Neurospora crassa OR74A: one gene and its partners. The protein of the gene in region 1 interacts with the protein of each later gene in a pairwise test. Links are inferred from orthologs where the notes say so. Each region holds a gene or a part of one and is shown in the gene's direction. Other genes may lie near its edges. The genes, in order: NCU09437, NCU07393, NCU07058, NCU04485, NCU01367, NCU01022 and NCU03018.

Region 1 (4,186 bases):
TATCGATAGCGAAAAGACTAATCCGTTTATAGAATTCTAGGGACCGCAATACAGCCTTAAATTTCGTACTTATCGTAAGTTCCGGGCTCAATAGAATATAAGTATAATCGCCGCATTAAATTTAGTCCCAAATATCCCAGTTCTATATATAAATTAATAAAGGTACTTAAGATTCGTAAAAAAGGGCAGAATACTTACTTTTAAAGTCACATCTTTATTTACCTATACTAGCTTTAAATCTAGCACTTTAGTAATAATATTATTATATTAACTTTCTCCAAACTTAATTAACAGTATAATCTATATTGTAATTTTATTATATAAAGCTAAAAATATATATAGGACAATACTTTTTCCGTAGCCCATTACTGCGACTAATATTATATCCTTCTATTCGTACGCCAACCGTACTACCGCCTTAACCTAGCCTTTTCGAGGGTCTTTACTATTACTAATAATATCTTTTATTACCCGCAATATACGCTAGGGGTCAACGGAGGGATCGAAATTAGGATCTATAGTATTAATACCTATAGAGGATAGAAAAAATTAAGGAAAAAAAATAACGTACTATAGAGTAAAGAAAACTATACTACTATATTAATAGTCGTATAATATCTATACCTACAAAGTTTTATAGTATTGGGATAAAAAGCCGTACTGTAATATATAGCTAACTAGGCATTGAATATACGGACTTACGTAAAGTTTTTACATTTTCTATAATAATTAATACTTTCAATAGTCGTAGAAAAAAATTAATAATACCATTAAATCCGTCTCAACGAACTCTTTCTCCTCATATCTTTTGTATAACCTAAATCTATTGTTTTATTTTAACGCTATATTATCTTTCTTAGAAGTTTATCAATATAAATTCCCCTATCCGCTTCTAGTCTAATTGGGAATTCAAACCTCTTTTTTAGGCGTTCTTATTCAATACCGGAAAGTATACTAAAAGAATGGGTACACGGATCACAATTTAGAAACTTTAGTAACTTTCAATTTATTATTTTTTTTGAGAACCCCGGGCGCGCAGCGCACGGGCCAGATGTGCGCGCAGCGCACTTTCCCAGCGGCCGCAGGCCGCCCATGCCTAAAAAAGAGGGTCTGATTCTGAGATAAGGGCCGGGCGCTCACTGTCTGTCAGTTGAACCCCACAGGGGCAACCAACCAACATTGCCCCACCCGACTGCCCCTGTCGGGTCTTCCACTGCCCCTGTTTGTGGATTGACCTCTTATCTCTTATCGGAGCTCCAGAGTCTCAAAAAATTTGGGAATTCCCGTCGCAAACTTGAACGAGACTCGAATTTGCAGAACTTCAATTGGAGGGACGACGCTCGGTCCACTGTTGTTTGGCTTTCAGTGCTCTCTCTCTCAGTGTCTTGTCACTATCAATTTCCTGTCTCCATTCCCAGGACATCCTCCTCCACCATCACCATCATATACCTATACCACCGCCACACATACAATGGAACCCGGATCAGCAAAACGACGCAAGATTGGCCATTCACGCGGCGGTGAAAGCGCAGTTGGCAACATCGACGCCGCTGCCTCCTCGGGTCTCTCGCGTGGCCGCGCATTCATCCTCGAAGCCGAAGAACTCGTCGACGAAGTGAAGCTCGACTATGCCACGGCCCTCGAAGGCGTCGACTCCCTCCTCCACAAGATCAAGGGCTCCATCGAAGCCATCGAAGCCCACGATGCCCTCCAGATCGCCGAGGCTGCCACCAAACTCGAAAAGAAACACAAGATCCCGATCCCGTTCCCCGAGCCGCGCCCGTCCGACAAGTCCAACTACAAGGTCGCCTTCGCAAAGCCTTCCCAGTTCAACGTTGTCGGCAGCTATGTGTCCAAGACCATGATCAAGGCCCAAAAGAGCCATGCTGTGGATATGGTGGTTGTGATCCCCGGCGAGACTCTGCAAGAGAAGGACTACCTCGACCTGCGATACTTTTACAAGAGAGCCTACTTCCTCGGTGTTGTGGCTGCTGCCCTACAAAAGGACCTGGCTGATGATGGAGAGCTTTCATACGAATACCTGAATGGGAACACCCTGTCCCCCATTTTGTCGTTGAAACCAAAGGTGGAAGGAGAAAAAAAGGAGGGCCAGCTGGACTACAGAGTGCGCATCATCCCTTGCGCCCCAGACAACTTCTTCCCCAAATCAAAGCTTCACTTGGGCGCTACCCTCGTGCGCAAAGCTGGCGGTGACGAGTCCAAGGCCGCGACCAAGCCTACGCCCTTCTACAACTCGACGATTGTTTCCGAGTCCTGCTTCTTTCCCTACTTGAAGCTCTTGCGACAAACCGAAAAGAAATGCGCCGCGTTCAAGAAGGCTTGCATCCTGGGTCGGGTGTGGTTGCAACAACGAGGACTGGGAAGCGATATGGCGGACGGTGGTTTTGGTCACTTTGAATGGGCGGTACTTTTGGCCCTTCTGCTCCAAAGCGGCGACAGCACCAAGGGACATGCGCCCTTGTCTACATCCCTGAGCGCCACCCAGTTGTTCAAGGCCATGGTCCAGTTCTTGTCTGTTACTAACCTGTCCGAGAAGCCGTGTGTTTTGGGAACTGCCACCGTCGAGTCCGAAACCACTGGTCCGGTTCTCTTCGACGCTGTTCGTGGTTTGAACGTTGCCTTCAAGATGAGCAACTGGTCTGCGGCCAAGCTACACCAACACGCCAAGTGGACAAGGAGCCTTCTCAACGACAGCACTGCCGACCAGTTTACCCCTACCTTCATCCTCAAGGCCGACCTCCCCTGGCAAAACTACGACCTCATTGCCCACCTCAACTACGATGGAAAGCAGGACAAGACAGAACCGATTGACTGCCGGGGACGGCTATGGGAATACAGCGACAAGGTGCACAGGGTTCTCAAGCGGGCTCTTCAGGACGAAGAACTAGGTGAAAGGGCTCGGTCGATTCACATTCAACTACCCAAGAGCTCATCCTGGGATCTCACCAAGAAACCCTCCACCAAGCAGAACCACACAATCGAGATTGGTGTCCTCTTCAATGCCGCCAACATGACCCGCTCTGTCGACCGCGGTCCGGCCGCTGGACCTAGCAACGAGGAGAAGGAGGAATGCGCCAAGTTCCAGCGGTTCTGGGGTGAGAAATCGGAACTTCGTCGGTTCGAGGGTGATTCTATCAGGGAGACCTTGATCTGGTCGTCCACCTCCCCCTTTGACCTCTGCGAGGAAATTATGCGCTACATCCTCAAGCTCCATCTTCGCGTTGGCTACCTCGAGGACGAGCTCACCTTCCACGGCGATGGCTTCACCGAGTTGATTCCTATCAAGCCGACCGACACCTCCGTCTTCAACGCCGCTCGCAAGGCCTTTTCCTCCTTCGAGAAGGATATCCGCGACTTGGACGACATGCCGCTGCACGTCAGGCAAATAGCCCCCATCTGCCCCGAACTGCGACACGCCTCCGTCAAGGTGCCCTTCTCGACCGTCAACAAATCCGGCCCACGCCCCCTGGAATGCGTCATCTCCTTTGAAGCCTCCGGCAAGTGGCCCGAATCCATCGTGGCCATCCAACGCACCAAGATCGCCTTCCTGCGCATGATCGGCGACCTCCTGGAGCGTTCCAAGCCCGGCGAGGTCCGCTCTTACGTCGGTCTCGAGTCCTCTACCACCACCAACACGGAACTCGAGAACCTCGCCTACCTCGACATCGTCTACGAGTCCGGTCCTGCCTTCCGCCTGCGCATCCACTCTGACCTCGAAGAGGCCCTCCTCACGCGCCAATCGCACGACAAGACCATCGACCAACACCACCGCCACCAAGCCTCCGTGCTCCTCTCCAACTTCCGCAGACTCTACTACCACCTCCCTCTGCACACTCAATCCATCAACACCTTCGCCACCCGCTTCCCCGCCTTCTCGCCCACCGTCCGCCTGCTCAAACACTGGTTCTCCTCACACAAACTCGCCTCCCACTTCACCCCCGACTTCATTGAACTCGTCGCCCTCCAGACTTTCTTGAGCCCCTACCCCTGGGACGCACCCTCCTCCCCTTCCGTCGGCCTTCTCCGCGCCCTCCTCTTCGTCAGCAGATGGGACTGGCGCTCCGAGCCGCTCATCGTCGACACCAACAGCGACATGCCATCGTCCGAACGCTCCGCCATCGCCACCCGTCTCGAAGCCTGGCGCAAGATCGATCCGCTCATGAAC
Region 2 (4,199 bases), on another chromosome or scaffold:
TCAGTCCTGCCCCAATTTTGCCTGGATAGCCAACGCTCAACGAACTTGGAGCGGATCAGCATCTCTGGCCCGTAATGATCGACCAGCTGCTCAAGAAAGATGAAGCACATTTTTTCGGTGATATCCCTCAATGGATAATCGTCCCATCCATCATTCTCGAGAACCTCCTGCTCCGGGTCGAGGGAGAGCTCGAGGCACCGGACTATGGCGGAGTATGCTTTCCAAGTGTGAAGCATGGGGAGAACTCCTTGAAGCCGTGTTAGTGAGTTGGAAACTTTCAAGCAGTGTTGAGATACTCACGAGGGACGCAGATGACAGCCAGAGCCCTCAAGTTCTTGACACGCTCGTCATAATCTGGACGGGTGATGCCCCAGAGCAACGTCTCCAGGAGGCCGGGGTCATTTGCAGCCCTATCACAGATTATCTTGGCAGCCGTCTCCTTGATGGCGTAGTTGTAGTGGCCCAGCAAGGTGTCCAGCGTCTTGAGCTCGAGCGAGTCCTCGGTCTGCTGCGTGATGTACTGCGTCTTTGGCGGATTGGGGGTGACAATGGTCTCGTCTCGCCATCTTGTTAGCCAGGTGTTCATGGCGAAGATGATCAAGCTCGCCGTGACGAAGCCAATGCCGGTGAAGACGACCCTCTCATCTCGGAGAACCGACGATTGCCAGCCCATAATAACGGTATGGTGATGAAAGATGATGCTTCAGCATAGGTAGTTTGACTTTTATGTGTTGTTTTCTTTTTCTTTTCATCACATCGCGACTTTGAGATTGAGACGGAACACTGAAAAAAACCAAAAATAAAAAAATAAAAAAACCATGAGCAGCCCGAGGATGACGATGGAGAGCTTCACTTCTGGTCAGTGGAGTGACACCCGCTGTAGAGCGGGACAGTCTATCCAGGTCCCAAATTTCCCACCCTAAGCATTTAGTCAAGCATGTATCCCAAGACCTTTGTACTTAACAATACATTCAACTTTTTGGATCCTCCACCAAGAAAATTGGGAATTCTTTTATCTTTGCAAGTCAAATACTGCTGGGAAACTCCTTTTCGCAACTCAGCTGGCCCAAAAGGGGGCTTTTTGGGTGAAATGCTGCATCCTGGGTTGCAGAGCACATTTGGTCGAGTGACATGTCTTGAGAACAAAAGAAGTCTGTGCACTTCCTTAAAAGGGTAAGTTTTTGGGACCTGGATAGCATCGCCCGTAGAGCTTCGTCTTTTAGCAGCTACAGTGCAGCACGGGCAGGCCAGGATGCTTCTGCTGCCCGCGCCTGTGGACAATACTACTTGTATGTAGGTAGGTAACTGCCAAGATTTTAGAGGTGGAGCATGACGATAAGATAAGCACCCTTCATCACCAAAATTTCTGAGAAGGAACCAACCGCCAAAGACAACCTATTGATTGCTGGTCTTGCGATCGAACCCGCTTCGCGACGCCCTCCCTCCCTCTTTCTTTCTCAATACTCCCCTGTCAAGTCGACAGTCGAGACATCTCAACAAACATGGCCGGGTCTCAGCTCAAGAGGCTGAAGGCCTCCCTCAAGGACCAAGGCATCATCGGTCCCCAGAGATCCAAGAAGCAAAAGCGCCAAAACGCCCAGGACGCGAAGGCTTCCACCGACAAGCGACTCCAGCGCCACGAAGCTCTCGCCAGCATCAGAGAGCAGTTCAACCCCTTCCAGTTCAAGACCAACGCCAGAGGACCCAAGTTCGAGGTCACCACCAACAAGCCCCAAAATGATAAACTCGCCAAGGGCATTCAGGGCCGCCCCGGCGTTGCGAAGGCCACCGCTGAGCAGAGGGTTTGTCGATCCCACTCAGATCGATTTACTGGTTCTGATGCTAACTGTGCCATAAACAGCGACGGGAAACTCTACTGGTTGAAATGCAGAGGCGCAACAAGGTCGGCGGCATTGTCGATAGGCGTTTTGGCGAGGACGACCCCAACATGACCCTGGAGGACAAGATGATGGAACGTTTCGCGCGCGAGCAGATGAAGAGCCACAAGAAGAACACCGTCTTCGATTTGGAGGGTTCCGATGACGAGCAAGAACAGGTCACCCTTACACACGCTGGCAAGACTCTCTTTGACGACGACGACATTGAGGCGGGTCGTGACGATTTTGACGAGGACGTTTCCGATATGGAATCCGACGATGAGCGGTCAGCCAGAAAGAAGTTCCTCAAGCGCCTGCGCGCTGAGGAAGAGGCCGCGGAAGGTGAAGGAGAGGATGGACAACCGGAGAGGAAGAAGACGAAGAAGGAAGTTATGGAGGAGGTTATCGCCAAGTCAAAGGCCTTCAAATACGTAAGGGGCACCGCTAAGCCGGCTACTTCCACTCATCAGCTAACAGTAATTGCTACAGGAACGACAAGCAGCCAAGGAGGAGGACGACGATCTAAGAGTGGAACTTGACAAGGAACTCCCAGAATTGCAGTCCCTACTCTTCCAGATGAGACCGAAGGAAACGAAGGACCCCAAGGGCCCCTCCGTTATGGCAGGAATCGACATGGACCAACTTGAGAAGGAATACAACATGCGTCTCAAGCAGGCAGCGCGTGAAGCCAGGGCCGAGGTTACCGACAGGACAAAGACCGACGAGGAGAAGGCGGAGGAAGGAGTTAAGCGTCTCAAAGAGATGGAGGAAAAGCGACTCAGGCGCATGCGGGGTGAGATCGTCTCGGATGACGAGGAGGAGGAGGAGGAGGAGCAGAAGAAGGGCAGGAAGAAGGGAGACGACCAAGAGGTACAAGACGAGGCCGACGAGGACGAATTCGGCCTCGGCAAGGGTATCAAGCTACGAATGACCGCCACCGAGATGGGTCTGGACGACGAAGACGATTTCTTGCTCGAAGACGACCTTATCGCAAGCGGCTCTGAGTTGGATATGGACGAGGACGACATGTCGGACATGGACGGGAGTGATGACGAGGATGCCTATGATCCTGATGAGGACGAGCTTGTGAATGGTGGTGAGGACGGCGAGTCGAAGGAGGTGGCCACAAAACTTCAAGCTCAGTCAAAAGGCGGCGACGAGGACGGCATACCCTATACCTTTACATGTCCCGAGAGTCACGAGCAGCTGCTGGAGATCTTGGGCAGCCTTCCCGTGGCCAAACTTCCAGTGGCTGTCCAGAGGATCAGAGCTCTTTACCACCCCAAGCTGGACGCGAAGAACAAGGAGCGCCTTGGAAACTTCTCCCGGGCCCTCATCGAGCATATCGCTTACCTTGGCGACAACTTCGAGCCCACCTGGTTCCCTACCATTGAGAACTTGATCCGCCACGTCCACTCACTCGCGAAGACCTTCCCGATCGAGATATCCAAGGCTTACAGGTCACGGCTTGAGGAGATTAAGGAGGATCGGCCCCTTGCCCTTAGCGTCGGCGACCTTATGCTTCTGACAGCGATTGGCACAACCTACCCTACTTCTGATCACTTCCATCAGGTGGTCACCCCTGCGATGCTTTCCATCACCCGTTATTTGGGACAGAAAATTCCCCAGACACTCGCCGACTACTCCATTGGTGCTTACCTTTCGATCCTCGCCCTTCAGTACCAATCCTTCTCCAAGCGTTACGTACCAGAATTTGTCAACTTCTGCCTCAACACTCTCTGCTCGCTCGCTGCTGAGAAGCCCAAGGAAAAGCTTGGTCTGTTCCCCGTTCACGAGCCCGCTGCTGGCATCCGTGTCAAGGGTGCAAGCAAGGTGACCGTCAGGAAGCTCAACTGCGGTGACTGCCAGCAGCCCAAGAGCGCTCGCTCCACCAGCGACGACTCCGCTCTGAAGGTTGCCATTATCAGCACCATCACCTCCGTTCTCAGGACTGCTTCCGAAACATGGTGCAAACTCCCCGCATTCTACGAGACCTTCCAGCCCGCCCAGCGCGTGCTCCAACACCTGACAACCAAGTCCAACGCCGCCCAGCTCCCTGCAGCCCTCGTCAAGCAGCTTAAGGACGCAACGACAAGCATCTCCCGCCTCCTCCAGCTCGCCCAGGTTTCCCGCAGGCCACTCGAGCTGCACCACCACAAGCCGCTCGCCATTAAGACGTACGTGCCCAAGTTTGAGGATTCGTTTGACCCCAACAAGCACTACGACCCAGACCGCGAGCGCGCCGAGCTGGCCAAGCTGCGGGCCGAACACAAGAAGGAGCGCAAGGGCGCACTCAGGGAGCTCCGCAAGGACGCGGCCTTC
Region 3 (4,169 bases), on another chromosome or scaffold:
AAGAAAAGAAATGTGACGGCGAGATCATCGTGACATCAAAATTCAAAGAACCAATCCGAAAGGGGAGATGTATCGTAGGCAGCTCTGAAGGCGAGTGTTCTTTGAATACGTATGGTTAGCTATCAGGCTGTATCTCAATGGTAGGAATGTCGAGACCATCAGCCTAGGTAGCAGCGTGGCGACTCCAAAGGCAGAGAACCTGGACATGTTCCAATTTCACATATGACCCAGAACAGTGGAGCTGCTAGGTGGTTGATTCCTGGTGGTCAGGTCATATAATGTACAGTGGAGAGTGGCTCGTGGTCCTTCGAACGGGTCTGTGTCGGCAGGCTTTCGGAATGTAATCAGAACTTGGGTATATATTGCGTTTGGTAGTTTGATAGTTGAGTGAGCCTCGCTCCATTTCCTCGCCGTGGTCTGGTATCGTAATGTCCTCCTCCTCCCTCCTTGAAAAAATGACGACCGTTTAGTCGAGACCGTTCTCCGACTTCCAGCGAGCAAGGTAAGTGGCGGGGTTCTTGGGGCCGAGCTTGTCGCCGGGGAACTGGTCGTGGACGGGGCGGATGGTCTTGGAGACGAAGGGGGTGAGCTTTGTTGTTGTTGGATCTTGTTAGCATAATTCTTTTTTATTCTCTTTTGTCCTCCATTCTCGGTCCCTCCCCTAGCACCAGATCCCCCAACACATCCCATTCCAACCCCAAACCCGGACGGAAATAGAGGACCACCCACCTTGAAACCGGTCAGGTCCGGGCACACATAGGTGCGGACCTTGGTGTAGTCGATCTTGTAGGTACCGTAGCTGGTGTGCGTACCCATGGAACCGGTGCGGTTACCCTTGTAGAAACCCTTGTTGACGTCCTTGGTGGTCAGGCGCAACTTGCGGTACTTGAGACCTTGGAGGATGCGAGTGGGCTGCATGGTGGGCTAGGAGGATTGCGCTTTGCGGGGCAACGACGACGGAGAATTGCTTTTTGTGGTCGGTGATCTGGGTGGTGGAAGCACCTCGCTGTGGTGAGGGTGGTTGAGGTGGGCGCAAGTGGGACGGAGACGGGATCCGCTTTAGAGTGTTGAAGATCCGGCGCACGCGACAGGAACGGAGACGGGACTCGGACTCGGACTCGGACTGGCGCTGGACAACACGGACGGCGACGGGCAACGGGCGACGGGCGACGGGGTTGGAATCGAGAAATCGCAAAGACGTCCGGGGCCGCGCCGGGTTGAGGTGGAGCCATTTCAGAAGTTTGGAGCTCAATTGAGCCAATGACGTGAGGCTGGGAGAAACAGGTACCCCTGTAGCCTGCTGCGGCCCCGCAAAATGGGTGGGTGTTGCGCCCTCACCGCCCGAAAATTATCGATTACAGAGGCGGCAGAAAAAGTTTCGGGGGAGCTTGTTCACTGGCAGAAAGTTGAAGGCTTGGTGGGAGTTGCCGTTGAAGGGACCTGACCACTTCGACCTCCAGGACCCGTGCAGGCAAAAGTTGGACATTGACATCCATCGATTCATTCCATCCAACCACTGGACTTCGTCGACAATCTCATCACCCAATTTTTGCTTGCTCGACCTCGAACTTAATTGACTGAATTACCTTCCGACTTCCAATCAGTCAATTCTCAAATACCAGCAAAATGCCCGGCCGTCAAGCCCACGGCAGGCCTCTAATGCCCAAGTCGGGCGGCGGAGGGCGTCCCAAGCACAGAGTCAACAACAAGACTGCCGATAGGAAATCCAGAAACAACGTCCTCGACGCCTTCGCTATTGCCGCCGAACAAGTCCCCCAAAAGAAAGCCAAGGGCGTCCGCACACGAGACCTCGACGAGCCCGAAGAGCGCCCCCAGAAGAGACAACGAGATGGCGACGACGAAGACGATGAGGACGGAGACGAGGATGAGGAAGATCTCGAGGACGCCAGGCCACAAAAGAAGAAGGCCAAAAACAGCGACGATTTCGAAGGCTTCTCCGACGGTGGCGAGGACAGCGATGGCGAGGAGTGGCACGTTGGTGTAGGCGCTGATGACGAAGATTCCGAACTCGACTCTGATGAGGCCTTTGGTGAGAGCGACGAGGAAAAGTTCGATGGCTATGCCTTCAGCGGGAGCAGCTCCAACAAGAAGGGCAAGAAGGCGAAGAAGGGTGGAAACGACAGTGATGAGGAGGAAGAGGACGAAGATGAGGACGATGACTTGGAGTCGCTCGGTTCCGACGCCATCGATCTCGCCACAGCACTGGATCAGTATGAAAGCAGCGAGGAGGAGGAGGGCGAAGAGGAGTCAGGATCGGAAGACGACGCGGACAGCGAATCGAGCGAAAGCGAAGACAGTGACGACGATATGGAAGACCCTTCCAAGCTCGACGACCTCCAAAAGATGATCTCCGGGTTTGCGGGCGACGACAACGACGACGAGGAGCAATCAGGCTCGAAACCAACAAACAAACTCAGTCTCTCAGATCTCGGCCTCCTTGGCGTCCAGGACCCCCACATGAAGAAGTCTCTCAAGCTCATGAACAAGGAGGAAAAGGCCGCCAAGCCTGGGCAATCCAAGAAGCTCGACATCCCCCTCGCAAAGAGGCAACAAGACAAGCTCCTCCGCTCCGCCGCCTACGAAAAGACCTCCGAGACGCTCGAGCGCTGGATCGACACAGTCAAGCACAACCGCCGTGCGGATCACCTGGTTTTCCCCCTCGCGCAAAATGCCCACGACGCCGGCCTCGACAGTCAAGAACTCCTTCCCGTGACCAAGGCCACGGCGGGTACCGAGCTCGAACAGACCATCTTGGCCATCATGGAGGAATCCGGCTTGGGACCCACTAACAAGCCCAAGAAGGAGGACCAGGATAACGTCGAGGAGATTGCCGCTCGCAAGGGTCTCTCGGCCGCTGAGATGCAAGAAATCACCCGTCAGAAGCGCCGCGAGCGTGAGCTGTTCTCGCGCGAGCAGGCCCGCCAGAAGCGCATCAAGAAGATCAAGTCCAAGGCGTACCGTCGCATTCATCGCAAGGAGCTGCTCCACGACGAGCAGGAGATGCATGATGCCATGGTTGAGGCGGGAGAGATTGATTCAGAAGAGGAGCGCGAGGCTCTGGACAGGAGGCGAGCCCTCGAGCGCGTCGGTACTCGTCACCGGGACAGCAAGTGGGCCAAGCTCGGCAAGAAGGCCGGTCGCGCAGTGTGGGACGACAACTTCCGCGCTGGGTTGACAGAGGCTGCTCGCCAGAAGGAGGAGCTGCGCCGCCGGATCGAGGGACGCAGAAAGGGCGAGGAGGATTCTGAAGACAGTGGTTCCGACGATTACTCTGCCGAGTCTGGCGATGAGAAGAAGAACAAGAAACGGTTGCTGGAACAGCTCGAGCACGCTGCTTCCTACGCGGATGGCGAGGTCGAGTCGGGGCTGATGCAGATGAAGTTCATGCAACGCGGCGAAGCCCAGAAGAGGAAGGAGAACGATGAGATGATTGCGCAGATTCGCCGAGACCTCGATTCCGACTACGACTCTGACGATGTCGAAGAGACGGACATCGGTCGGAGGCAGTTCGGTATGGGCAAGACGGAGATCATACTCCCCGGCCAGCAGGCTGCTCAGAAGAAGAAGGAGAAGAAGAACATCACAAACGACATGTCCAATCTCCAAGTAACACCACAACAAGCAGCCACCACCCAAGTCGAGGACACTTCCCTCGCCGCCTCCGTCGCCGGTGCCTGGTCCAAGGCTCCCCAAGAAGGTCGCAAGAGCACCAAAAAGGCCGCCAAGGTCTCCGTCGGCGAGTTGGACCTCTCCAACGCCGCCATGCTCGCCTCCAAGCCCAAGCCCAAGTCCAAGGACGCCGCAGCAGCCAAGGACAAGAAGTCCTCTGCTCCCGCCACCACCACCCACGACGACTCCTCTTCCGACGACGAAGAAACGATCCATCTCCCCCTCGCCATCCGCGATCAAGAACTCATCAAGCGTGCCTTTGCAGGCGAGGACGTCGTAGGCGACTTTAACCGCGAAAAGGCCGAAGTGGAGAAGGAAGACGACGACAAGGAGATCGACAACACGCTTCCTGGCTGGGGCGGCTGGGTAGGCGAGGGCATCTCCAACCGCGAGAAGAAGAGGCACACAGGCCGGTTCGTCACCAAGGTGGAGGGCGTCAAGAAGGAGAAGAGGAAGGATTTCAAGCTCAAGGGGGTGAT
Region 4 (4,171 bases), on another chromosome or scaffold:
CCGGGAATGTGGTTGACAGAGGTCTCGAATGTCGTTGATGGCTTCGAGTCAATGTCGCGTCCCAAACAGCTGGGCAGGATGAAGAATACAAACACCCAAATCCGGACTCTGTGGTTCACTCTGTTGATGAAGAAAGGCGTGCTCGGTGTCTCACGTGATGCAGGCATTGTTGATGCTTCTCGCTTGTGAAAATGCCAAGAACATCATCGACATCTGATTTAGGGTTTTCCGGGGTTGTGTTGGCAAGGCATGCGGAGTCGATGACACCCGGAGAGGCATTCCGGAGCTCAGTCCTAGGGACATTCGCCTCGACTCCCGCCTTGGTAACCCCACCTGACCATCACCAAGGATCTCTTTCCTGGTTGAGCGCAAACAAAGAACAGCTTGGACTTGGTCCGGAAGTTGTGTAATGATGATTGCCCCTGAAGTGAGGAACGAATAGTGGTGGGCCATTGATTCTCGGATGGGGACCAAAGAACAATTATAAGTCTTGTTCGGACGCCCTTCATCTTTTGGACTCGCCATCCAACCCTCATTAACCATCCGGTTCATATCTCAGGATCCCACGTCCCAGACACATCCTTAACAACCCATCCGATAACGCGGCACTGTCGACCAGGTTCTTCCAACTTATACAAACCATGAATCTGGAGAGCTACTCACGACTCATTTCCTCCGACCAAGACGAAGACGTCAAGGCAGAGAATAGGGCTTGCACAACGCTATTGTCGCTCTTGATGCTTGTTGGGATCCTTACGTTGGGCGCAACGATGTGGCATGGGAACAGTTAAAGAACTGAAACCTGCGTAACATCTTCGGTAGGTAGTCAATCCGCGAACACTGTCAATTCATGCGATATCAGTCGTCCTAACGAGTGGAAGGTCCAGATTCGATGACCAGCGACAGCGACAGCGGACAGGACTGGATGGCCGATCGGTGGGTGGGTGACGTCGAATGGGAGTTCTCTGGTCATAAGTTGAAGGACGGCCGATGAGGCATGCGATGACAGGATTATACGTTGGATTCCGAATGACGGACAAGTTGATACCCGAATTTGTTGGATTGGATGGTCGAGGACAATCATCGACGGGATTGCTGGAGGACGATGGCGTTTTTGGAGTTTTTCGAGGTTGAACAGCCCTGCGCTGACAGCGTCAGTGGACTTTGGCTTTTGACGGAGTTTTTAGCGGGCTCCATTTGCTGCATGCCAGGGCACCAATGCGGGGAAGTGGATTGATCCATAGCACAGGACTTGGCGTTTTAGGTGGGGCACCTTGACATTAGCATGTGCAGACCGCCTTTGGCAGAATCAACAACGCTCCACTAAAATTTTCTCGGACTTTGCGTGCTGTGCACATGTCGGGTCGAATCTGCGAGTTTCCTTGCTGCCGTCGAATCCTCGATTTTGGATCGCATCAGTCACCATCTCCACATCCACCATGCCCAAAGATAACAAGCCTAAAAAGCGCGATGGCGCTCCTGCGATTACCGATGCTCGCTTTGCCAACTTCGAGACCGACCCGCGATTCCAGCTGCCCTCAAAAAAGAACCTAAAGACCAAGCTCGACAAGCGTTTCTCCAAGGTTCTCAAAGATGCAGAGTTCACCGCCGTCGCAAAGGTCGACAGGTACGGCCGCAAGCTAAAGACCGACACCAAGAAGAAGGCTTTGGAACGGCTGTACGAGGATGAGAGCGAGGACGCCACAGACAACGAGGCCAAAGAGAAGGCCAGCAAGGGAAAGAAGGACGAAGCGGAAGACGAGAGCGACTTCGAGGTCGAGGACGACGACATTGTTCAGCGCGAACTCGAGGCTGCCAACTCATACGACCCTGCCCGTGGCGGCGGTTTTTCTTCATCCGATGACGACTCCGACTCCGACTCCTCAGATTCCGAAGACGAAAAGCCAGAGGTGGAAGACGAGGCTGATGCGGAAACACGACCCGGTATCCGCTTGCGCAAGGATAAGGAGGCTGTTGAGGAAGGCGAGATCACAAACAGAGTTGCCATCGTCAACATTGACTGGGACCATATCAAGTCGATCGATCTATTCGCCCTCTTCTCGAGCTTCGTGCCCCCAGGTGGTCGCATCGAGAAGGTATCTGTCTACCCTAGCGAGTTCGGCAAGCAGAGGATGCAAAGAGAAGAGCTGGAGGGTCCTCCCCAGGAGATCTTCAAGAAGAAGAGTGACTCCGATTCCGACAGTGACTCGGAGGACTCTGATTCGGACGAGGCCATCAAGAAGGAGCTTCTTGAGGAAGGAGACGACCAGGACTTTGACAGTGACGCCCTTCGCACTTATCAGCTCGACAGGTTACGTTACTACTACGCCGTTATGGTTTGCTCCGACAAGAACACAGCATACAAGATCTACGAGGCGACGGATGGCAACGAGTATCTTTCTTCTTCCAACTTCCTCGACTTGCGATTTGTCCCCGACGATGTCACGTTCGACGACGAACCCAGAGACGAGTGCGACAGCGTCCCTGCGGGGTACAAGCCGGTGGAGTTCGTGACCGATGCTCTCCAGCATTCCAAGGTCAAACTCACCTGGGATACGAACCCCGAAGATTACTCAAGAAAAGAAGCTCTCAAGAAGGCCTTCACCGGTAGCCGCAACGATATCGCCGAGAACGACTTGCGCGCTTACCTTGCGAGCGACAGCTCAGACGACGAGGAGGACGAGGAGGAGAAGGAGCAGTTCGAGGCCGAGGGGGCCGCTGCCGAGGAAGCAGAAGAGGAAAAGACACTGTCCAAGAAGGAGCTTGCCAGGCGCAAGATGCGCGCTGCTCTTGGTCTTGCTGACGAGCCCGTGGTAAAGTCCAAGAAGGATACTCCGGTGGGCGAGATGCAAATCACCTTCACGCCAGCACTATCCGCCAACGACAAGAAGAAGGGTGACGAAGATAGGGAGGAGACGACCATCGAGAAGTACAAGCGCAAGGAGCGCGAGAGAAAGGAGAGGAAGCGGCAGGAGATGCTTGCTAGGAGGGAAGGTCGCGATCCCAACGCCGCTCCTCAGCAGGAGGAAGAGCAAGGCGACCAAGGCGAAGATCTCGGTTTCGACGATCCATTCTTCACTGCTGAGCCTGTGGTGCCTTCCAAGACGGCGATTCGCAAAGAGGAGAGGCTCAAGAAGAAGGCTGAGAGGGAAGCTGAGGAGGCTGCCAACGCCGCCGAGAAGGCACAGCTGGAGCTGCTTATGGCTGATGAAAACGGTGACAGTGGCCGTCTCGATCACTTCGACATGAAGCAGATCGCCAAGGTCGAGAAGGTCAAGGGCAAGAAGAAGGGCAAGAAGGGCAAGAAGGGCGTGGAGGGCAACGATGGTCTCCAGGAAGAGTTCGCCATGGACGTCGAGGATCCTCGTTTCAAGGCCGTTTTCGAGAGCCACGAGTTCGCTATTGATCCCTCTAATCCTAAGTTCACGGCTACTCAGGGTATGAAGAAGCTTCTTGAGGAGGGCAGAAAGAAGCGCAAGGATGGACCCAGTGTTACGGAGAAGAGTGAGAAGAGCGCCAAGAAGGTCAAGACTGACGACGCGGATATCGATGGTCTGATCAACTCTGTCAAGAGGAAGGCGAAGGCGAAGGCGAAGAAATGATTGCATCACGGGTAACAGCATATTAATGGCAAGTTTTTGATTTCTGTTGGTTCACATCCATCTGTCGTTCCTCCACTGTCCAGTCTTGTAAATGGTCCTTGGGTCAATGTGGTTTAAATTCAGGTCATGTAGGGTTGCTCCCTTTGTCTTTAATGATCGTCCCCTTTTGTGGATGAGGACAGAACCACGTACAGCTACCTCGCAACTCTTTTCCACTTCACAATGGCGGCCATAATATGTGGTACTCGAGGTCCATCAGTTCCTCATGGCCATGTAAGTTGGAGCTTTTGTTGTCGAGATGTTTGCCTTTACCTTTCTTAATCTCTCTCCCCGAGGAAATAACTCTGTGTGTCTGGCAAAACCCCTGGAAAGACACTGGGCCTCCGACATTCTTCCCTCGACAATTGTGTTCGTCTTATCCATAGCTACCTCTTTTCATCGTCCTTCGAGGTTTGCAAGCGATTCTCAACCTCCGGCCAGTCGTCAAGGTTCCTCCGTCAGATCCACAACCGGAACCTCTTCCCCTCCCATCTCCACCGGCAGCCACTCCTCCACATCATCCCTCGTTC
Region 5 (3,976 bases), on another chromosome or scaffold:
TGATTCTGTACATGACTCCTACGCATCAAAGACGGTACAGAGATATCGGTCGAGATCACATACTGTGCGTAGCCGTGGGCGGCATAGGGGACCTTCGCCAACGACGCAAGGTAGTCGAGCCAGTAGAGGCTGGGCTTGTGGGTGATAGGGTCGACACCTCCGAGAAGGAGGTTTACGTTGTAGGGTTTGCGGGAGCGCAAGCTCGTCGCAAGCTCGCCGCGGACAAAGTTGGCAAGGGCAGAAGGGGAAAGGTCGGTCCCGTTGCGCATGGAGTAGAGCTGGGCGTTGGCTTGGGTGTACTCGGCGAACTGCACTGTCGATGGGAACAAACAGTTGGTTAACTTGGTTTGGTTCAAAAGCGCCATCATCACGATATCGCTGCCGTACCTGTGTCGCCAGCTTCACCGGAGAATGCCATCAGTGTGTGCTTGTTCAGCGACCTTGTCTTGTCGTCGGATGCCTTCAGGATGGTCGCTCCCCGCATAGCGGCCTTGGACGCCGCAATGATGGTAAAGTCCTTGCCCGTGATGCCTAGTAAAACCTCCCTACATGCTGATCAGCTCTGATATCACCTCTCCAAGACATGACCGATGCGACGTACATTTTGGCTGATTGTTATGTGAGTGAATGGATGATATGCTGTTGTTTTGGTAAGCTTTGGCAAGTTGCGTTGGCTTGCACGGTTCTCGTCGTTACCTACCTATGGCGGGACAGGGCAGTTGGAGCTTGAACTGACGGCGACGGGGAACGCGCACTGGAGCTTCAGCCTGCAAGCTGACAAGACAAGCACGGGCCAGGCTGTTCAGGTGCCCGCTATCGTCTTCCATCTTTCCATTCCAGTCCCCAGAAGGGCTGAAAGCTGCAACCACTGGGCAGGCAAGCAGACAGCGAGAGAGACAGCCCCACTCCGTCATGAAACCTGCCAGGATGGCCCGGGGACGTCTTTTGGAGACAGCAAGAGCCTCCCCACCAGCCGACTACTAACAGCTCGCTAGCTCGGTTCCGCGTGACAGAGCCCCTATATCTGTTAGTGACGCAATAAGGTAGAGTGCACGGCACGGGGATTCCCTTCTCCGACTCGTTCAATTGTGCCAAGCCAGTGGAGGAGATCTTGACGAATCGGCGTGCTACTCCACCGATAGAAAGCCTGCAGGGTGGGCAACTTTTTTTTTTCTTCGAAGTCCATCGGGTCGGGTGTGTCTAGGCGCGAACGGCCATCCCAAAAATTTCAACTTTGATAGCCATGCAGCAGCGTTGAAGTGAAGCCGAACGCGACCCCAATTCACATTCCAGTGTCATTCTCTACCACCAGACGACTCCAGTGCATTTGCACCGACCGCCCCGGGCCGCAATTGCCAACACCATGTCGTCCTTTTTCACAGCACCCGCTGGGGAAAAGAAGAGGAAGCGTGCCTCTGCCAACGAAGCCCCCCAGAAGCGAGTTGCGACTGGCAAATCGACTGCCAAGTCATCGTCGGTCAGAGGCCCTGCCGCCAAATCACGTCCCGCAGCCCCCAAGAAAGCCGTTGAGCGCGACGAGTCGATATCCGGCAGCGACATTGACAGTGACGATGGCGACCACATTGAGAGAGAGGACGGGTCGGAAGGAGAAGAGGAGTCGGACCACGAAGGAGAGACGGCGGCTGAGAAGCGGTTAAGATTGGCACAGCGATATCTGGACAAGGCACGACAAGAGGTGGAACTGGAGGACGAGTATGCCTTTGACGCCGAGCAGATTGACCGTGATTTGCTGGCCGAGCGTCTTCAGGAGGATGTGGCCGAGGCCAAGGGCAAGGTTTACCGCCAGTTGGCTTCCAAGCTCGACTTTGACAAGGCCGCACACACACAGTTTCGATGGAATTCAGGAACGGTAACATCAGTCTCGGTTTGCGCGCCGTACGCTTACACCACCACGAAAGACGGCTACCTTACCAAGTGGAAGCTACAAGACCTACCCAAGAACCAGTGGCCACAGACGACCAAGAAGAAGCCAAAGAAGCCGCCTGCGCCGCCCAAGAAGAAACCCGAGAGAGTGTGCTTCAACAGGGCGAACCCGATCAAGGCAAAGGACAAGACATACCAGGGACACACCAACGCGGCCATCCTGACGGTCAGGGCCTCTGCCGACGGCAAGTTTGTTGTCACCGGCGGCGCCGACAAGCGAATGGTCGTCCATGACGCCGAGACCCTCAAGCCCCTCCGGGCCTTCACCCAGCACCGCGACGCCGTTACCTCGCTCGCCTTCCGCCGCGGCACTAACCAAATATTTTCTGCCTCCAAGGACCGGACAGTAAAAGTCTGGTCGCTCGACGAGCTCGCCTACGTTGAAACACTCTTCGGCCACCAGGATGAGATCCCCGACATCGACGCTCTGGCCGGCGAGCGCTGCGTGTCCGTTGGCGCGCGCGACCGGACCGCCCGCTACTGGAAGGTTCCCGAGGAGTCGCAGCTCGTGTTCCGCGGCGGCGTGTCGGAGAAGAAATCCCATAAGAACCGGGACCAGGCGGTGAACCACGATGGCACCATGGACCAGGTGGCCATGATCGACGACGAGCTCTTTGTGACTGGCGACTCGGCCGGCACGCTCTCGCTGTGGGGCATCAACCGCAAGAAGGCGCTGTTCACGCAGCCGTGTGCGCACGGCATCGACCCGCCGCTCAAGCCGACCGAGGTGTCTGCCGACGCGAATCCGGACGAGAGCGTGGTGCCCACCCCGCAGCCCCGCGCCATCACCGCCCTCCGCACCATCCCGTACTCGGACGTCATTCTCTCGGGCTCCTGGGACGGCTTCGTGCGCGTGTGGCGCCTGAGCGAGGACAAGAAGAAGATTTTGCCTGTTGGCGTGCTCGGTTCCAGCACGGCGCTGCAGCAGCTTGACCAGGCCGAGGCCCAGAAGCAGAAGGAGGAAGCAAAGCAGAAGGCAAAGGCGGAGAAGGAACCTGCAACCGCAAGCAGTGGGGAGGAGCAAGCGGACGACGAGGCCTCGGTGGATGGGTCGCAAGACAAGAAGAAGAAGCAAGAGAGCGGGCTGATTAGGGGTATCATCAATGACATTGCCATCTTCGAGCGCGGCAACCGCGGTCGCGACGGCATCTGCATCGTGGTCGCCACAGGCAAGGAGATGAGGCTGGGAAGGTGGAAGTACATGAAGGAAGGAAGAAACGGCGCTACTATCTTCGAGGTGCCCAAGGTTGCTAGGCGAGCGGGGGCTAAGGGGGAGGAGAGCGATGAGGAGGAAGAAGAGGAGGAATAGAGGAAGAAGATGGGAACCATACGTACGTTTGTTCTGTCTTGTTTTGTCTACCTCGTTTGACGGAGCGGGACATGGGAGAAACGCGGAGAATGAGGAAGAAGAGAGCCAAATAATCATCGCCTGTTGAAATTTGTTACAAAGTGCTCTGGACGTTATATCGCATTCGCGACAGCCAAGCTGTTCATAGACAAAGGAGAAGGAGAAAGTAGAAAGAGCAAGTATTGTACATACCACACTATATCTTTTAGGTAGCCTCACTGCATTTGAAGGGAGTTGAAAAGTTTCTGGTCATGAATCCATTCCACTAGATTTCCGATTAAGTTGTGCCACACAGAGCCATTAAAATACTATGGAATCTCTCACCAATATATCATCAAAGGGATGGTAAACTTCTTGTAATGTGCTCTCCGTGGAAAAAAATATCAACAGAGGATTGGTAGTTTGTTAGATCACGCTGCGCTACTTCTTCCTCCAGCACAAGGTTGAGGCTCCATCATCTAGCTCGAGACTGAGATGGCCACCCGACTCAAAGGTACTCCTCGAGGCCTAGCTGGACGTCAATACCGCCAAATATTCCGCCTGCATGATAAGATGTACAAGACTTGGGGAGTTCGAGAGTTTCAACTCCAAAACAATCAAGCAACGAGCTTCAAAAAAGACAACGCAGCCATGCTATACCAGCCATCGAGGCCTCAAGACCATGCAATGCAAATGGGCAGATGC
Region 6 (4,108 bases), on another chromosome or scaffold:
GGCCGGGTGGGGGAAGGTGCCGGTCTCGGGGGAGGCGAAGAAGTTCTGGATCAGGGCGCTGAAGCTGTTGAGCTCGTGCGAGGTGGTGTACCAACCCAGCAGGGTCTCGCGGGGGTTGGCCTTGAGCGTCAGGGCCAACATGTTCTTCTGGTACTCGACGTCCACCTCAACCTGGTCCTCGTTCTCGGTGTGGGGGATGGCGAAGGTGGAGCGGACTTCGACCTCGCTGCCGTCCTCGCTGCGGACACCCACGAGGGCACCAATCACCCGTGTCGACTGGGTGTCGCGGTCGTCACGTCTGACGGCATGGTCGATGATGGAGAAGACAGCCTATTTGGTGAGGAAAGCGAAGGGCTACATGTCAGCTAGGTGTTGTATGGTCTTGGGCAATGGTAGTGGTGGTAGTGGCGGTGGTGACGGCGGGGTAGCAGAGAGGATATAGGTAGGTAGGTAGGTAGGTAAGCTTGACATGCGCAAAGGGGGACATCAAGGTAGGGGACTAGGTAGATAGGAGTGGAGGGGCAGATATAGGACTGTAGTATGGAAATTGGTGCTGTTGACGTACCTGAGGCTGGATGTTGACGGTAAGCGGGGCATTGCTGACACCGAAGCCAAGCACATTGGGCGCAAGGGGGCGCGAGAGATGGACGAAAGACTCCTGATCGACAGCCATTTTGACGACGGGCTGGGCTGTAGTTGAGTGAGAGATGGTGGAGGGGTGGTGTGGTGGTTGATAGAGGAAGCAGGACGGGAGTTCGAGGAGGAGGGGAGGAGCCGTCGAGGTTGAGATTATGGGGCTCTTTGAAAATGTAGACAGCAGACGCTGTTTTCGGGTTCGGGGTGAGAGAGAGGCTAGCGGTTGGCCGGGGGGTGGGGTGGGCTTGCGCTGGTGAAGAGTGGGCACGGGCTGGGCACTGGCAGAAAGAGAAGTCACTTTTTACGGTTGTACACTACACTTTTTTTCACTGCCGAGAATGGGTGTCAAATGTCAATGGCACTCCAGTGTGAGGGTAGGTCTCGGTGGCAGCCCGGCCATCGAGTTGGGTCCGTCACTGTTCACAGGCAGTCACTAACTTCCATTCTCTCGCCCTAGACCGGGAGGTACTCCATCCAGCTTTCGCAAAATATGGGGACCAGTAGGCGGTACCTCTGCTCGAATTTTTGGTTTTGCAGCGCAATGCGGGACCTTTGGGTGTTGTGCGCGCTAAGATAAGATAAGCCGGTCTCCACACTTCCATGTTCAGCTTGGCGGACTTGAGATTGTTCTTTCTTCAGTTCGCAAGGGTCAAGGGGGAGGGGTGGCGTTACAAGGCTGCTCTTTGCCAAGCCCTTCCTTCAAGATTCCATTGGACTTTTGGACTTTTTCTTCTTGGCTCGTTGACAAGGCTGAATACAATTTCCGTATCGTTTTTTTCACCTTTGTTGAATCTGATTTCACACATCAATCACCAATTGTCATATCACCAACCTCACATCTCATAATTTGAGAAAACTCTTACCGCATCAAAATGGCAATTCGAGGTCGCGGTGGTGACCGTGGAGGAGGAGGAAGAGGAGGAGGAGGTCGTGGAAGAGGTGGTGCAGGAGGTTTCAGAGGCAGAGGAGGATCCAGGGGAGGGGGCTCCAGAGGAGGCGCCAGAGGAGCTTCGAGAGGGCGCGGCAGGGGAAGTTCGAGGGGTGGTGCCAGAGGAGGTTTCGGCCCTCGCTCATCCAAGTTCAACGACGCCCGACTTGCCGACAAGGACGAAGAGTAAGAAAATTTCAACACTCAAGGGCAGAAAAGAACTGGAAAGCATACTGACTGAAACAGGGAAGATGAGGAAGAGGACATCTCTGAAGAGGAATCCAATGTTTCTGAGGATGAGATTGAGGAATCAGAAGAGGAGGATGAGGAGGAGGATGCCCAGTCTGGTCAGCCATACATGAGTCTTCTGAAGAGCTTCCAGAGTGCAACCAAGACGAAAAAGAGGAAGTTGGATCACCCGGAGGAGGAAGGTCCGAACAAAGTTACCAAGACGAAAGACGACGATAACAGCGACGACGAAGACAATGAGAAGGTGACGGAGGACGTGGATGCAGTTGACGAGCCAGAGGAAGATCCCCAGGATGCACCATTAGAGGACCTGTTCGACGAAGATGACGACCTCGACGACTCAGACCCCTTCGAAACTCACTTTACTGCCCCAGACGAGGCGACATTTCAGGCTAGGATAAAGGCTATTCAGGCGAACAAGTGGAGGACCGACAGGATAGCAAAAAACTCCAACAGGATATACTACAACACCCCAGAGACAGGCGACTCAGCTGAGCAGAAACTTCCCCATTCCATTTCTGGAGTTGGCGATCTTAAGCTCAAGCAACGATTAGCCGAATCGATGGCTAAGCACACCGAGTTCGACGAAGCTGAGAAGGCAGTAGCACCTCTTCTCTTCAACTATCAAGACATGCTTTACTGCAACCGGTCAGTGGCATCGTCTGAGAGCATAAGGCGGATGGCGTGTCTGCATGCGCTCAACCATGTTTTCAAGTAAGTCTGATGGGAACACGAAAAAAAAAAGAGTAAACAGAGAGCTGACTTTGATACCTACTCAGGACTCGTGACCGTGTAATCAAGAACAACACCAAGTTGCAAAGAGACGACACCCTTGAGCTTAGAGACCAGGGCTTTACCCGCCCCAAGGTCTTGATGATTCTCCCTACCCGCCAGTCATGCGTCAAAATGGTCGAAATGATCTGCAAGGTCGCCGCTCCTGAGCAACAAGAAAACCGCAAGCGTTTCGACGATGGCTATGTCGACAAGTCCACCAAGTTCTCTGACGACAAACCCGAAGACTTCCGCGACCTCTTCGCCGGCAACGACGACGACATGTTCCGCCTCGGTATGAAGTTCACTCGCAAGACCATCAAGTACTTCTCGCAGTTCTACAACTCGGACATCATCTTTGCCTCCCCTCTCGGTCTGCGCATGGCCATCGGTTCCGAGGAAGAGAAGAAGAAGCTCGACTACGACTTCCTCTCGTCCATCGAGCTCGTCATTGTCGACCAGGCCGACGCCCTGCTCATGCAGAACTGGGAGCACGTCGAGTTCATCTTTGAGCACCTCAACCTCCAGCCCCGCGACGCCCACGGCTGCGACTTCTCCCGCGTGCGCTCCTGGTACCTCGACGACCAAGCCAAGTACTTCCGGCAGACGGTGATTTTCAGCGCCTTCAACACGCCCGAGCTGGCCGAGTTGCAGCGTCTTTACTGCCACAACTGGGCAGGCAAAGCCCGGCTGCAAGCCGAATACCCAGGCGTGATCCAGTACCTGGGCGTCAAGACGCGCCAGACCTTTAGCCGGTTCGATGCGGCCTCCATTGCTGCCGACCCGGACGCCCGCTTCGCCTACTTCACCAAGGCCATCGTGCCGACGCTGGTCAAGCGGGCCGCCAAGGACGCGGCGGGAACGCTCATCTTCATCCCCTCGTACCTCGACTTTGTGCGGGTGCGCAACTACTTTGCCAATAACCCGGCCGTCGAGAGCGTCACGTTCGGCAACATCTCCGAGTACGCCGACACACCCGAAGCGTCGCGCGCGCGCTCGCATTTCCTGACGGGCCGCCACCGCGTGCTGCTGTACACGGAGCGCGCCCACCACTTTAGGCGGTACGCCATCAAGGGCGTCAAGCGCGTCATCTTTTATGGCTTGCCGGATAACCCCATCTTCTACAGGGAGATTGCGGGCGGGTACCTGCAGAAGAGCGAGCAGGCGCTGATGCTAGAGCACGGGCAGGGGCACGTCAAGGTCATGTTCAGCAAGTATGATATTATGAAGCTGGAGAGGATCGTGGGGACCAAGAGGGCGGGCAAGATGATTACGGAGCAGGGCGATACTTTTGATTTTGTGTAAAAAGGTCCAGTCAGTCGTATGGTATGTATGTATAAAGGCGTCGGATAATCAAAACTGCCAAGGGGATTGGGTTTACATAATGGATTGAAAAAGTTGGTTGCATAGTTGTTAAAATAGAATACCTACTACTGCTGTACGTACCTAGTGAGCAATAAGACAACATCCTGAAAGTCACCAGTCTATGGAACGGGGCATATGGTTTGCCAGTCTCCCAAGTCC
Region 7 (4,230 bases), on another chromosome or scaffold:
ATGTCACGGTGCAATTTCAATCTCACGGCAGTATCTTGGAAGCTTTCTGATTTCCTTATTACATACTTGTGCTTCCCTTTCCCATCTCTTATCTTCTCTCCTTTTCGAAAACGTCAATCTGAAGATCTTTTCATCCATACGTTAGGTTAGTTAGCTGTCTGTCTTATCCAGGATACGCCCAGTTGCTGTCCGGTCTACTCCTTGACAAGTGCATTTTTCTTTTAGCTCCCTTCGCATTCCAAGGACTTGACCCGCCGAGATCGTTGAATCACATTGCTGAGAATGACACAATCATTGTCTCTCGCTGTGTTTGCAGCTGCGGCACTTTTTGCGACTAAGGGTCTTGCGAGCAACTTTACCGTTAGCAATGGCCAGATTTTCACCCCTGGTTTTGTTATCGTCGATTCCCCCCAGCCGGACACGCCTCTTGGCGGAGGTTAGTACTATTAGTACCCGGCTGGCTGTCGGCAAAGGACTTGAGGACTTGCTACTAATAAGCTTCAACTTGTGTAGACAATGTCGAGATTGCGCTCGATGTTTCTGCCAATGGCAAGCTTCCTCTACCGCCCTACGGCGACGACGCTTCCAGCCAAATCTACAACATCAACATCTTCCTTTACAGCTACGTAACGGGCCGAAACTTGACCATCACCAACGGTACTGCGTCGGCCAACAATGCCACACTCGGTGATATCATGCTCTCCGAGCCTGGTAGCACCGTGAAGCATGTCCGGTGGACATGGCCCGACTGCATGGTTGGCGATGGTACGAATGGGAACGATCGTGGCAGTTACAATGTGGGTTTTCCAAATAGTCAGCTTAAGAGTGTGTTGATAGCCATTTCACTGACAATTCAAAAGATCTCCATCCACCAACGCTTCAGACTCAATGGCGAGAACCACTACACGATATTTGATCTTCCCGTCTCTGTGACCAACAGCATCAGCAAAAGCGACGACCGCCCGTCTTGCCAATCACTTGATAACCCGTTACTGGCGCCCGAGGACATCGATTGGACAGACACTAACGAACTCGGCGCCCTCTTTGCTCCTGGTGATTCGACGGTTATTGAGACGTCGAATGTTGGTAGTGGTGCTGGGCTGGCGAGCTGCAAGCATGCACTTAACTTGTTGTGTGTGGTGGGCATTAGCTGTGCTCTGTTGTTAAGCTAGGCTCTAGACTTGCTTGTCGTCCAATAATCAAAAAGGTGGCTGTGAGATGACATAGAATCATCTGCAAGGATACCAAAACACCACGTACTCTTCATGCATATGTTCTTTTTGAAATCATATATTTGCTCTGCGTGGCTCATAATTTTAGTACTAGTTCGTGTCTGGTCAGATTTATTGTCTTCGAATGAGTTCACATAAAGTCATCTTCATCACAAAGATATTGTTAATGAAAGTAGCATTGAGGCATCAGATAAGTTTAATATATGTTTATTTTTTTACTTTTTTTTTTGTAGGGGTACTTCAAACTTATTCCTTGAACAAGGCTGGCGTGCTTGTGATAGCAAGTGGGTCCAGATTAAGTGGGACAGGATCTGCGATCTGCAAGGCTGATAACGAAAAAAAAAGTTCCCAACCTCAAAACAAACCAAACACTAGCGACTGGTCGTGGCATTTCCGTCCATTTCAACTCCATTTAACCAGGACCGGATCTCACAGCAAAAGTTCCCGTTACTGGGCTTTGCGCAATCTCCTAAATCAGAACAAAATGGCGCCACAGACGAAAGACGAAGTTTCCGACGACAACGAATTCGTCGGATTCGACGAGGAGAGCGATGAGGAGATGCACGACAATGATGGCATGTCAGTAGACGACGACGACGAGGACGACTCCGATATGGATTCAATTGCCGACCCGAGGAAAAAGTACGATATTGAAGAGAAGGACTCTGACGAAGAAGACCTCGAACGATTCGTCTTGGGCAATAACGACACCTTCCGCGCCCAGCTTTTCCGCGACGATTTCCTCGCCGATATTACCGATTCCAAGGCTCTCATTAGGACCGACAAGCAAGATGACACGACTGGCCTCGAACATGTCGACGATAACGCCCTCTTCGCGTTCGATACTGGCGTTCCCGGTAATAAGAAGCAGACAGAGGCCGCGCCCTCTGCGCTAGAGGCTTACGAGCAGAAGGAGGACCCCCCAGCGTGGGAGGACAGCGATGACGAGCGGTTGACAGTATCCCTTGCGGCTGCCTCGCGGTTGCGCAAGCTGCGTCAGTCCGAAGAGGAGGATGTCGTGAACGGCACCGAGTACGCGCGCCGCCTGCGCTCGCAGTACCTCCGACTATACCCCCTTCCGGAGTGGGCCAAGGAATCCTCGGCCGCCAGCCAGCGCCGGAGGAGAAGATCTTCAGCCGCCGGTTCCTCCTCCGAGGAAGACAGTGACGCCGAAGACGACATCGAATCCGCCCTCCCTCTCGAGACCTTCCTCCGCGACGTCAACTCTTTCAACGCCAGCGCCGATGCCCGTGGCAGCAAGCGCCGCAAGCTGCGCCCCGAGACCATCGACATTCAGCGCTCGCGCGACATCCCCGACATTCACAAGCAGTCCGTCAGCTCGTTGTCCTTCCACCCCAAGCACCCCATCCTGCTCTCGTGCAGCGTCTCCTCCATCATGTACCTACACCAAGTTGACCCGACCGCGCACCCGGTTCCGAACCCGGCCCTCACGTCGGTGCAAGTCAAGCGCACCGACCTTCGGCGCTCCGAGTTCCTCGGTCCCGATGGCGACGACGTCATCTTCGCCGGTCGCCGGCGCTACTTCCACAGCTGGAACCTCTCGTCGGGTGCCGTCAAGAAGATCACCCAGATCCAGGGCCACCAGCGCGAGCAGCGTACCATGGAGCACTTCCGTCCCTCGCCCTGCGGACGCTACCTGGGGCTCATCGCCTCCGAGAAGAAGGGCGGCGGCATGATCAACATCGTCAACGTGCGCACGATGCAGTGGATTGCGCAGGCGCGCACCAATGGCCGCGGCGGCATCTCCGATTTCGCCTGGTGGGGCAACGGCAACGGCCTCTCCATCCTCGGCAAGAACGGCCAGGTCACTGAGTGGAGCATGCTCAGCCGGCGCACGGTCGGCGTTTGGCGCGACGAAGGATCGATCGGCGGCACGGTGATTGCGCTGGGCGGGCAGAAGGGCACCGGCCCTAGCCAGATTGGTGGCGATCGCTGGGTGGCTGTGGGCTCGAATAGCGGCATTATGAACATTTACGATCGGAATGATTTGGTTGAGCCTGTTAAGAAGGAGGGTGGTGCGTCGGCGTCCAAGGAGGAGACAGTGCAGATTAAGAGCATCCCCACCCCGCAGAGGACGTTTGAGCAGCTCACGACGCCCATCTCAGTGGTGACGTTCGCGCCGGACGGTCAGCTATTGGCGTTTGGTAGCTTCCACAAGAAGGACGCGTTAAGGCTGGTGCACTTGCCTAGCTGCACCGTTTACAGGAACTGGCCTACGGAGCAAACGCCTTTGGGTAGGATCACTGCTGTGGCGTTTAGCCACCAGAATGGTGGTGATGTGTTGGCGGTGGGCAATGATGTGGGCAAGATTAGGATGTGGGAGATTAGGAGCTAGATCTGCGCATTGTGTAGTGCGTTGAGTTGGCGATAAAATAGTGCGGAGTATAAACTAGTGGTAATCTAAGGGTTTGAAGGTTTTGGGCCATGAAATTCTGTCCAGCTCGTCTAAAAGGTTTCAGCAAGTGTCAGCCCTATGGCAACGATATGTATTCCCATGCTTCTCCTTGTACGCATGACATGCATCAAACCACGTCTTCAGAGGCATCAGTATCCCCTCAATCCTCAGGTGCTTCCAGTTTCCGTTTGCTTTACCTCCTTCTCCCTTTGCGACTTCTCCTTTCCCTTCAACTTCGCCTCCTTCTTCTTCCCCAGCCTTTCCTCTCTTTTACTCTGCAACTTTTCCTCCAAATCCGGATCGAAAATGTGCTTGAGCATCGCGTGCTCCGGCTGATCTTCGATGACCTTATTCCTGGGGTAAATCTTGCGATGCCCTATTGAATACTTTGAGAGCGCCTGAGGTGTTGTGAATCGCTGCGGCCTTGACTCCCCCCCGGCCTGAATGATTCTATCGGTTTCAAGGACATCATAGATGTTGACGTGTACGGCTTTAATGGCCTGGTGAGGGCGAAAAGAAATGGGTATCAGTAATGGCCGGTTCCCCGGTAGTGTGGCCTAGAGCGAGAAGGGACCAAAGAAG

What was found.
Region 2: the proteins of NCU09437 (region 1) and NCU07393 interact in binary tests that used the Saccharomyces cerevisiae proteins (3 or more experiments, as listed by UniProt). The link is inferred for Neurospora crassa OR74A from reciprocal best matches to the Saccharomyces cerevisiae genes UTP22 and NOP14.
Region 3: the proteins of NCU09437 (region 1) and NCU07058 interact in a two-hybrid assay, tested with the Saccharomyces cerevisiae proteins (2 studies listed by BioGRID). The link is inferred for Neurospora crassa OR74A from reciprocal best matches to the Saccharomyces cerevisiae genes UTP22 and UTP14.
Region 4: the proteins of NCU09437 (region 1) and NCU04485 interact in binary tests that used the Saccharomyces cerevisiae proteins (3 or more experiments, as listed by UniProt). The link is inferred for Neurospora crassa OR74A from reciprocal best matches to the Saccharomyces cerevisiae genes UTP22 and ESF1.
Region 5: the proteins of NCU09437 (region 1) and NCU01367 interact in binary tests that used the Saccharomyces cerevisiae proteins (3 or more experiments, as listed by UniProt). The link is inferred for Neurospora crassa OR74A from reciprocal best matches to the Saccharomyces cerevisiae genes UTP22 and RRP9.
Region 6: the proteins of NCU09437 (region 1) and NCU01022 interact in binary tests that used the Saccharomyces cerevisiae proteins (3 or more experiments, as listed by UniProt). The link is inferred for Neurospora crassa OR74A from reciprocal best matches to the Saccharomyces cerevisiae genes UTP22 and UTP25.
Region 7: the proteins of NCU09437 (region 1) and NCU03018 interact in binary tests that used the Saccharomyces cerevisiae proteins (3 or more experiments, as listed by UniProt). The link is inferred for Neurospora crassa OR74A from reciprocal best matches to the Saccharomyces cerevisiae genes UTP22 and UTP18.

What each region holds. Positions count from the first base shown.
Region 1 is NC_026507.1:182,558-186,743, reverse strand, and holds the start of NCU09437 (hypothetical protein), read left to right. Parts: upstream 1-1,386; 5' UTR 1,387-1,471; coding exon 1,472-4,186. UniProt on the Saccharomyces cerevisiae protein: Involved in nucleolar processing of pre-18S ribosomal RNA and ribosome assembly.
Region 2 is NC_026501.1:6,086,297-6,090,495, forward strand, and holds the start of NCU07393 (rRNA maturation protein), read left to right. Parts: upstream 1-1,399; 5' UTR 1,400-1,502; coding exon 1,503-1,802; intron 1,803-1,861; coding exon 1,862-2,308; intron 2,309-2,366; coding exon 2,367-4,199. Other genes in the region: NCU07394 (hypothetical protein), read right to left, coding at 1-247, 301-673. UniProt on the Saccharomyces cerevisiae protein: Involved in nucleolar processing of pre-18S ribosomal RNA. Has a role in the nuclear export of 40S pre-ribosomal subunit to the cytoplasm.
Region 3 is NC_026506.1:332,133-336,301, reverse strand, and holds the start of NCU07058 (small nucleolar ribonucleoprotein complex subunit Utp14), read left to right. Parts: upstream 1-1,369; 5' UTR 1,370-1,626; coding exon 1,627-4,169. Other genes in the region: NCU07057 (hypothetical protein), read right to left, coding at 467-589, 730-918. UniProt on the Saccharomyces cerevisiae protein: Involved in nucleolar processing of pre-18S ribosomal RNA.
Region 4 is NC_026504.1:3,204,119-3,208,289, forward strand, and holds NCU04485 (pre-rRNA processing protein Esf1), read left to right. Parts: upstream 1-1,371; 5' UTR 1,372-1,439; coding exon 1,440-3,602; 3' UTR 3,603-3,848; downstream 3,849-4,171. Other genes in the region: NCU04484 (hypothetical protein), read right to left, coding at 4,086-4,171. UniProt on the Saccharomyces cerevisiae protein: Involved in the 18S rRNA synthesis. Required for the early cleavages at sites A0, A1 and A2.
Region 5 is NC_026505.1:3,791,120-3,795,095, reverse strand, and holds NCU01367 (rRNA processing protein RRP9), read left to right. Parts: upstream 1-1,176; 5' UTR 1,177-1,363; coding exon 1,364-3,253; 3' UTR 3,254-3,569; downstream 3,570-3,976. Other genes in the region: pcb-4 (proteasome component C11, variant), read right to left, coding at 64-313, 388-545, 602-603. UniProt on the Saccharomyces cerevisiae protein: Involved in nucleolar processing of pre-18S ribosomal RNA. Required for efficient pre-rRNA cleavage at sites A0, A1 and A2, and biosynthesis of 18S rRNA.
Region 6 is NC_026505.1:2,701,014-2,705,121, forward strand, and holds NCU01022 (DUF1253 domain-containing protein), read left to right. Parts: upstream 1-1,308; 5' UTR 1,309-1,508; coding exon 1,509-1,750; intron 1,751-1,810; coding exon 1,811-2,527; intron 2,528-2,592; coding exon 2,593-3,889; 3' UTR 3,890-4,004; downstream 4,005-4,108. Other genes in the region: NCU01021 (eukaryotic translation initiation factor 3 subunit EifCf), read right to left, coding at 1-330, 566-673. UniProt on the Saccharomyces cerevisiae protein: DEAD-box RNA helicase-like protein required for pre-18S rRNA processing, specifically at sites A0, A1, and A2.
Region 7 is NC_026501.1:8,426,014-8,430,243, forward strand, and holds NCU03018 (small nucleolar ribonucleoprotein complex subunit), read left to right. Parts: upstream 1-1,430; 5' UTR 1,431-1,716; coding exon 1,717-3,588; 3' UTR 3,589-3,766; downstream 3,767-4,230. Other genes in the region: NCU03019 (hypothetical protein), read left to right, coding at 283-436, 514-797, 861-1,172; NCU03017 (hypothetical protein), read right to left, coding at 3,816-4,205. UniProt on the Saccharomyces cerevisiae protein: Involved in nucleolar processing of pre-18S ribosomal RNA and ribosome assembly.